2 linked regions of the Drosophila melanogaster genome follow. The protein of the gene in region 1 purifies or fractionates together with the protein of each later gene. This does not show direct contact. Each region holds a gene or a part of one and is shown on either strand. Other genes may lie near its edges. The genes, in order: mrj and pirk.

Region 1 (5,048 bases):
CGGCGGTGGCTCCTCCGGGAACATCGGCCACCGTTCAAGGATTGATGGCCGGCATGGACGATGGACTTGGCTTCTCCATCGGATCCCTAATCGGCGGACTTATGTTCAAAAGCCTGGGCGGACGAGAGAGCTTCAAATACTTTGCCATAGCCGCCATTTGCACATGCGTAGCACACATCGTTATACGTCCCACATCCAGGAAGAGGCAATTCCTGCCGAGACAGGGATATGTGCCGCCAACGGAACAGGAGATCAAGCAGCCGCCCGCTCAGGAAATGGAGGAGATTCGTTTGGGATAAACATAGTATCAACACATGCCATTTTTATTGCATATTTTTGTACTAATTTTTTACGTTAAACAAAAACAAAGAAAGAACGACAAGTTGTCCAAAAGTTGAATGACTTTGCTCTCTCGGGGTTTTTGTTCGATTGTTGGCGCACACGCGATCTCAAGTGCTCCGGCCCCTCCAGCTGTCAACATGGTTATATAATACCTGAGCATCGCACAAAAGAACCCATTGAAAGTGAATCTGGGGCCAGGCAGATGCCTCGCTTAAATGGCGAGCGATTCCCACTCCATATATTAACGAAACTGGCCCGATCGGCCTGTTTCAATGATCGAGAATTGAAAGTCTGACACTCATCTGCATGTTTGGGATTTAAGTTAAGTTAGAGAATTGTAGTTTTAGTTCTACACCCTAAAATAACCATATATCTACTGATTTCTCAGAGCAATAGCCTTTCCGAAATAGCTCCAACAAAATAAAAGAATTGGAGATGGTTATGACTTCCAATCTTTGTCGCCTAGTGTTGATAATTTATGCTCGAGTGTGGGCCACACTTCAGAGCTGTCCAAATGAGTGCTTGTAAAAATTAGATTGGGCCAAGTTGTGCTCCGAATCTCGCAGCAAACTGGATGGCTATATAAGCCACGAGTTACCATTAGAAGCCTGCATTGTTTCTGGAAGATGTGGCCCATTTGGCTGCTGGTGCTCTTAACGCTATCACTGGCCACTGGCCGCCAGGTGGGCAGATGCAGTTTGGCCCGGCAGCTGTATCGATACGGAATGGCTTACAACGAGCTACCCGATTGGCTGTGCCTCGTGGAGGGCGAGAGCTCGTTCAACACAAAAGCCATCAATCCCTCGAACGTTGATGGATCCGTGGACTGGGGTCTCTTCCAGATCAACGATCGTTACTGGTGCAAGCCGGCGGATGGTCGTCCATCCAACGATCTGTGTCGCTTGCCCTGCCGCCTGCTGTTGAGCGACGATATCCGGTATTCCATTGCCTGTGCGAAGTACATCAGGAAACAGCAAGGATTCTCCGCCTGGGTGGCTTGGAACAATCGATGTCAGGGTGTCAAGCCCAATGTGAATCACTGCTTCCGGCGGCGACACAGAAATTCGGGTTGAGCATCGGTAAAAAGCTAAAAAAAATACGAAACTTAAGAACCTAAATGCAGAATAAAATATTATAATATTAAAGAGCAATATATTTTATGAGTATGAGCATTAAAAGAGCGAACAATTGTGGTGCGATATATCATCTGGTAAACAAGAATAGAAAAAACTGGTCTATACCTTTTTACCTTCAATTTATATTCAAAACTAACCGCCAAGCTAATAAAATTAAATATAATGTAAAATGTAAGTCAACATGTAGAAAACATGTCCAAAGGGATGTAGCTAAACACGTTATCTTACCGATGACATTTTTGAATTTCGGCTCGGAACCAGTTCGATTGGCAGAGCTAGTTGCTCCCCTCCCTGGGTCAAATCGATAGCCAGGCGACTGATAGTTGTCGCTGCGTTTTATCGCTTAAGTAAAACAGCTGTGGGAAAAGCGCGCTTGGCCAAAAGCAAAGTGGCGGTTGAATAATTTGTTTCTCGACCAACGAGCGCACGGATGCGTGCAGACTGACGGGTAATAAAGTGCAGTTAAATACTAAATTCAAAGTACTAAATACTGCTAAAGAAAACCAAAAATAGCGAAGCAGTAGATAAAAATACAAAAAGTGAAGTTGACATTGAAGTCGCTTCGTATGTGTGTGTGTGTGAGTGCTTAAAACTTGTGCTGGTGTGCGAAATTCTTTTGTGCTCCGTTTTGTTGTGCATTAAATAATCTCGATATAAGCTGAAAACCGAGTTTCAAATGCAAACGGCACGCTTCGTGTTCGAATAGTTGTTTTGTAAAAAATCAATAAAGCGCCGTAATTGTCGCCGTTCTGTAGTTGTTGTTGCTGCTGCTTGCTGCGACAGGAGTTTCCGCCAACAACTCGCGTCGTTCTCGCTCTCACCAACAGCTCTCTCTCTCTCTCTTTCCCCACGCGGCGTTGCTTATCTTATTTGCTCACACTTATTTCTTGTTTTACTATATCTCATGTTGGATTCGCATTTGTTAGATACTTCTAATGAAATTAATTGTTCGCTTGTTTTTCGGTTAGGCACCAAAGGAAAGAGATCATTTCCAGGTAAGCAACCAAAGCAAAAGAATAAGCGTAATACCAAATAATAAACAATCTAAGCACCGAGCGCAAACAGAGAAATGCGGAATTTAACAAGTTCAATAATCGAAAGTGCCTCTATTGTGCTCTCTGTTACACGCACGCACGCGGACGTATGCTAATTACAACGGTTCATTGCTCTGCTCATCGAGATTTTGACATATTGTTGCTGTCCCCCTTTGACATGTGGCGGCGTGTTTCCTCAAAAGATACTGCAGCTGCCTCTGCGATACCGTTAAACCCGTTTCTGACTCAAAATGCCAATTGTTTTTCGTTAACGCTTACTTTAATTTGCCTTTTTTGGCCAACTCGCAATTTGCCTGTCCCGCAGCTCTCTCAAATTTGTTGCAATTAAAAATTGATTTTCCGTTTGCCAAGTCAGCTTGTAAATAACAACAATAACAGCCAAAAATTGGTTACTGCAACAATGAAAAAGCAATTTTCCGTATCTACTACAAAAAAAAGAAACTAAAAAAAACGTTCAAAACTCAGTCAAGGCATTGTGCCCGTTTTATTGTTGCTGCTATTCGCTTGCCACACGTTTTGCGGCAGGCTATTGTCGTTGTTGCTGTTGCTTCCAGTACATGTTGCAATTCTGGGCATGCCTAATTTTCGGTTTAACAAAAGTTAAGTACTCTGGCTCTTTGAGCTTTTGCCCGTCGTTAACAAAACCGTTTTCCCTCCTTTTTCTTTTCTCTTATTTCTTTCTACATAAGCACAAACATCAACAATTGACAACTTGGGGCAACGAAAAGCAACGGCCATAAAAAAGTCTCGAATTATTTCGTAGCGTGTCCGATTGGCATCAATTGGTGGCGCTAGGCAATTGCAAAGAAATAAAGCACACTAGAAAAGCAAAAACAAACATAAATACATACAATTACCGAAAGCAATAGACTTGAAGACTGCTCAATATATGTGGAAAATCAATTATCAATTATTTTAAGCAGTAAAAAAAAAGTACTCTTCCCATACCGGGAATCGAACCCGGGCCTTCTGGGTGAAAGCCAGATATCCTAGCCACTAGACCATATGGGAGGCTATCTGTGTTGTAGCAAAGACTCGTTTTGTTCGCCAACATGAATGAATGCCTTGTGTTTATTTGTTTATTTTGCTTAACCCAGGAAAAACTATTAATACAAGAAAATTAAGATATGGAATGAAAACATATACAGAGGTGGTCAAAAGTATTTGAACAACGAGCTTTTTTTTTCAATTGTCAACTAATAACCATTGTCAACTAATTGAAAAAAAAAGCTCGTTGTGGAAATACTTTTGACCACCTCTGTATAATGGTCAGTCAACCCCTTTAACAAAGCCCAAAATTATTAACCCTCTGATGGTAACAAATAAAAAAAAAGCGAAATTAGGCAAAAAAGTTTCCCATACCGGGAATCGAACCCGGGCCTTCCGGGTGAGAGCCGGATATCCTAACCACTAGACAATATGGGACTTGTCTGGAAGGTGACTAAAGTGTGTCCTTAGTCTGCCTCTTAGGACATGTTTTAAAGTCACCACTGTATATTTTCTATTTATAAATTTAAAAATGAACAAGGCATAAAATTCCTTATAAAGTACGTGCACCATTTTTAACAAGGAAAAACTACAAAAACGTTTATATAACTTGGAAGAAAGTAGAACATATCCCATATGGTCTAGTGGCTAGGATATCTGGCTTTCACCCAGAAGGCCCGGGTTCGATTCCCGGTATGGGAAGTATTTTTATTTTATTTATAAGTAAATCAATTACCCTGCTTGAGAATCCCCATCAATCAAGCTCTTCCAGCCATTTCTCTCCCATAGCATCGCACAAAGGCATAAACTGGCTTGGACTTGAAAATCAGACAACAACTCCACTTATTGACCTGCACTTAGAGGCGGTGTAACACGAATCGTGGTTCAAGTGGTGTTTTAATGAGTCTCAGCTGGGTATGATCCGGCTCAACGAACTTCCTCGCTCCCTGCCAACCACTTCCATCATAAGCTGCAGCTGCAACTCAATTTTCCAAGCCCCGACACTCGATGGAAAAAAAACGGCTAATTCATCAAAAGTGTGGCAAAGCCGAGAGCCAAAAAACAGTGAGCCATTGTTGTTGCCCATCACGCCCACTTTTCGCTGGGGCTCGATCCATTTGATGCATGCTGGCAGTCGCTTGCCACTTTCCAAGTCAATTGAAAAACTCGTGTAGCTTTTTATATGCCATCATCTTGAACGAGCTTATGTATCGTATCCAGACATTAGAAGCGCGTGTGAGACATACGATTGAGCAAGAAGCGGAGAAAAAGGCAAAGCGTACAAATTGCCATTTTTTATAGTTTCTAAGTGAGTTTGTATATTTTTTCCCTCAAAGAAAGCCAAGCCCCGACAATCGATGGCAGCGCATGAGAGAAGCAACAAAAAAGACGGTAACTTTTTCGTTTCTGTTGAACGTTCAAGCAACGCCAACGCCGCCTGAGCTTTGTTTTTATTGTTAAACCAGTTGATCAGTTGAGCGACAGCAAGAACGAAAGACGCCAGCTGCTGCTGGCTATATGGTATGGG
Region 2 (4,503 bases), 5.4 Mb from region 1:
TATGAGTAAATATCTGATCTTTCTTGATCCAAAGCGTTGGAAACAGTTTTGATTATGAAGTTCCTCGAATCCTTCGGATACTTAGCAACGTTTTTGGATATCCAGTGCTCCTTGCCAATCACATTCTTTAATCGTCCCAGAATACCCTTGGAGTCAAAAGTGGGTCCGCTTATCATCCAGCCATTTATCTTATCAGCCGGACCGAACTCGTAGTAGTATCCGTTCTTCTTGATTTCTTTCGCCGCAAATCTTTCGACGGATCCTTCATCACAAACATTTGTCAAAGGCTTGCCGCCATTCAGTAAAATTTTCTGTAAGTGCTTCTCAAAATCAGACACAGAATACTCATTGCGTGTTTTTGTGCTTTCGAAATCTCCAGTGCTCTCAGTGCCAATAGTCAAAACATTCGAGTTGTTATTCATAATTGTTTATATTCCTACTACCGATTGGCGTTGGTGTTGTACACTAAAGTATGATTTCGTTATGGGAGCGCTTTTTATTTGCTTACTTATGAAATAAGCACCAATAAAAGCTCACGTCAATAGAGATGGGTTCTTTTTGTTTATAACAAACTGTGAATGGTTAGTAACATATGTTAGGGTGGTTCTTAAGAGTGTACTTAAAATCTAAATATATCTACTTCATTTAATTTCTTTTAAATAACGACTACATTAATTAATATAATGTCGCTTGACTCTGTTTCTATGTCCCTAAAAATTTGACTTCAAATTTTAGATGTTAAATAGATCACAAATTTTCACATTTACCTATTTGCTATTTTATATATTTACTTTACGAACTATTAGAGATGACATGATTTTGTTTATAAACGTTGTTTGTTTAAAAATCGGTGTGAATGGCAACGATTTCATTTTGGAGTGGACCTACCATTACAATACTAATTTAATCAATTAGCTGATTATACATTTCTAAATTTATACATTTTATAAACAATTTAAATAAAAAATAATTTAGATTTTTAACTGCATTGGCTATTTAAAATATTTGACATTAATAATAAATGCATTATCTTGTTATCTGACACATATGCAATATTAATGCTTTTAACACCCCATCAAAAGTATTAAAGTATCTGTCAGAACAAGTACATAACGTTCACTTATTTCGATCCAGAACATGAAACACAACAAAGCAACGCCTCGATCTTAATGAAAGATAAAACATCTGGCATCGGTGATTTTTTGGTCGGTGGGGCTTTAGTACCGGTATTAGACGCGTGCTAGATAGTGGCTGCAGGTGGTAACAGTTTTGATGGGTTATGGGTTGTGATCGAGGGGGTTTTTTCCTGGGCTCGCACAATTTCTCCATTTGTGTGCGCTGTAACTGCGCCGTGTCATATCTGATAATACACACGATTTGCCGTTATAACGCCTTCACACCGAACAAGGCTTCATACGATTATAGCTTTTCTTGAACTTTTGCTTTTGCTTGGCGAGCACACTTGAGATAGCTGCAAAAAAAGTCCCCGTTTACTGGCCCAAAACAGCGATCTGGCAAATAAATCATTTTATAATTTTCCGCAATAGATAATTGATTTGTCAACAGTGAATGCACCTTGAAAATAATAAAAAACGACCTTCTCGGCAATACACCCCTTTCATTTGTAGCCCCATAGCTGCGGTGCTTTCCCCGCACGAGTAAACATTATTGGGCCAACTGTTTAGATGCTAGCGTGTTTATTCAGCTGGCGATCTAGATACATATGTATGCTTGACTTGGCCGGGCTTTGCTCAGCTCCAGGCTTCCCAACCGACTGAGCTGGTCACTTGAACTGGCAACTCAGCTTGGAACGATCGCAGAAAATGACAAGATCGAGAATCGGAAGCTTTCGGGATATATATATAAGTAAACATATGTAAATTAAATCGAATGCCAATGAAGTCGATTGTGCAAATTACGGGTGAGATTTTTTTGTTTGTAAACAAACAGGCTCGTGAAGCATCTAGAGGAAATCATTGCCTCCGTTTCACAGATCTCACTTGGCAACTGCGTAAATATTTATCAATTTCTAGTGCTTAAAACTTTATCATCGGTTATCGTCGGTTATTACCCCTTTAGGTTGGGGTTGGTGGGTTTTTGACTCCGCGTTTACGACTCCCAAAAATGGAAATCAGCAACTATATCAGTGGACTTATTAATGATAAGAGAAGTTAACAAAAATCCCCATCAAAGTTGGGTCTGTACTGCATAAGTTGATAACAGTCTACACAGCGAAAAGTTACAATGCGTAAGTAAATAAATTCCACTTTGATGGGTCAAGACCCGAATAACACCCATTACTATTAGGGATAAGACTATAAGCACATCATTTTAGGAGAAACTATAAAACGATAAGATACAGTAATAATGTTTGAATTTACTGGTGCTGTTAACTAAATATATATTTAAACTTTATTACTATATGCTGAAGATTTGGCTAGCTCAAGTCGATGGACGAGCCCATTGCGAGGGCACCAACAGGTGGACATTACTCATGCCGAATAAATTCGGCGACCCAATCAAAGGTCTCCCCAGATGGCGAGATGCCTTTAAGTTCGCGACTCTCATGCATACGAGGTGATTTTCGTGCCGGCCCTCGGGCGAAATAAAAAAGCCCCGGCGCTAGACTCTCCGGCGGATATAAAAGCGGTTCCCGAGCGGCATTAGCGTTCAATAGCCAAAGTGCCAGCGAGCGAGCGAGCAGTAAGCACGGCGAAAGCGATACCAGAGATCGCCAAACTCAACGCACAATAAAAGTTCAGAAAACAGAGGGAGTTCCCCTGGCGGAAGCAGACGATCCCCCAGCGCTGAATTGAATACAAAAACAACACACACAATTGGATATCTTTGACCTTAGCCATCCGGATTGCTCATCATTCGGAGTCTTCCCCCAGCGACAGAGACGGAGATAGAGATAGGAAAAAGAGTTGGAGAATGAGCTAACCGACAGACTGGACGGTGATTTTTACGAGTGATTAGCAGCGGAAAGAAACGATACCGGCGGTAATTCACACCAAAATGGGCGTTCGTGTGATAGAAACCGATTCGGCGAGCGATTCGTATGACGATGACGAGTGCTCCACTTGCCAGAAAGAGCACGAGCAGGGTAAATCCCCCAATAAGAGCAAGAAAAGTTCCACGCCGCCGGAGACAACCATCTACGCCAGCAAGGATCTGGTGGGCAACTGCAAGGAGTACCGCATTGAGAACAACACGCGCGATCTCAGGATCATCGGCAATGGCAACCGCATACGGATTGTGAACAACTCCGGGCAACTGCAAGTAATCGGCAATAGCACCAGACTCAAGATCCAGAACAATAGCGGAGCCCTCAAGTACACGGGTAACGACGGAAGGATCTACCTGGGCAGCAGCTCCACGCAGCAGGTGGTCGACTACACGGGCTGCAATGGACTGCTCAAGGTGGTCAAGTCCCTGGATCTTAGCGGCGATGCCAAGAAAAGGCCCAGCTCTCGATCGAAAAACGCCAAGCCAACGCCAACGGATGCTGGCCAAGGCAAGTCCGGCGGCATTGAGATCGACAGCAATCTAACGATACGGCACGGAGCCGGGAACATTGTGATCAAGAATGCCATCAACGTGAGCATCTGAGAATCTTGAGCTCTCTAAGTCATCTTTGGCCAAAGATTAAGGATTAATGTAACGAAACTCTTGCCACCGAACGCAAAGGTTCCTATTGACTGCAAAATAGTCACTTAGTCTTAATGTGTCTTTCGACTGCTACCAATATTAACATCACCCTGCACATTCAGCAATGTCAAGTATTAAACGCCACGTCGCTAGTCTAAAAATCCATTACTATTCACAAAACACACCCACTGATTAGGGAAATATATGTATTGTATGTATATGTTTAGTCGTAACGCAGAAGCGCAGTGTGAACAAAGCCTAAACTTCATTCCGAGAATGAATAATCTGATTAAAAAATACAACTATATGTCTAAATATATATGTTTGCTGCGTTTTTCTTTGCATTTCTTGCTAAAAGAACAAAAAGTCCCCCAAAGACAACGTAACTTGCGTTTTCTTCGGAGCTTGGTAAACTACACAGATAAGTGCTTTCCTCAGCATAATGCGTACGCGACTATCTGCGGTCAAGTCGTACCATTGACAACTTCTAAGAACCACCAATTAATCACCACCATCGAGATGCTGATGCAATGGACACTGACCCATTTTCATTGTTACCGGAAAAAGCACCCGACGCTAGCCGATACAGGTACTGATTAATTAAATATATTTTGCTTTTCTATAGGTGCCGAATATCAATTCCCGGGGATTTTTTTTTTCGAGTTGACAGTTGGCATTGGTATACAAAGCAACAATTCATTACCGAAATACGAGTGCCACCTTTGCACTCACACTCACTGTTTACTCGAATGGCCGGAAAGAATTTCGAGAGATGCAAACTCAGGGTGCAATCAACCTCATTAATCTGTGGGAAACTCGAAAAGATACAGAGTGCAATTAAGATTGAGATAA

The links.
Region 2: the proteins of mrj (region 1) and pirk purify together in Drosophila melanogaster (affinity purification with mass spectrometry, with the first as the bait; one large-scale study listed by BioGRID). This does not show direct contact.

Annotation. Positions count from the first base shown.
Region 1 is NT_033778.4:16,218,548-16,223,595, reverse strand, and holds the start of mrj (mrj), read left to right. Parts: upstream 1-1,802; 5' UTR 1,803-1,926; exon of another isoform or gene 1,927-1,960; intron 1,961-2,446; 5' UTR 2,447-2,473; intron 2,474-3,472; exon of another isoform or gene 3,473-3,544; intron 3,545-3,886; exon of another isoform or gene 3,887-3,958; intron 3,959-4,150; exon of another isoform or gene 4,151-4,222; intron 4,223-5,048. Other genes in the region: CG15706 (uncharacterized protein), read left to right, coding at 1-299; CG7798 (uncharacterized protein), read left to right, coding at 969-1,415.
Region 2 is NT_033778.4:21,660,433-21,664,935, reverse strand, and holds pirk (poor Imd response upon knock-in), read left to right. Parts: upstream 1-1,940; 5' UTR 1,941-2,248; intron 2,249-2,431; 5' UTR 2,432-3,018; coding exon 3,019-3,612; 3' UTR 3,613-3,969; downstream 3,970-4,503. Other genes in the region: CG42362 (uncharacterized protein), read right to left, coding at 1-422.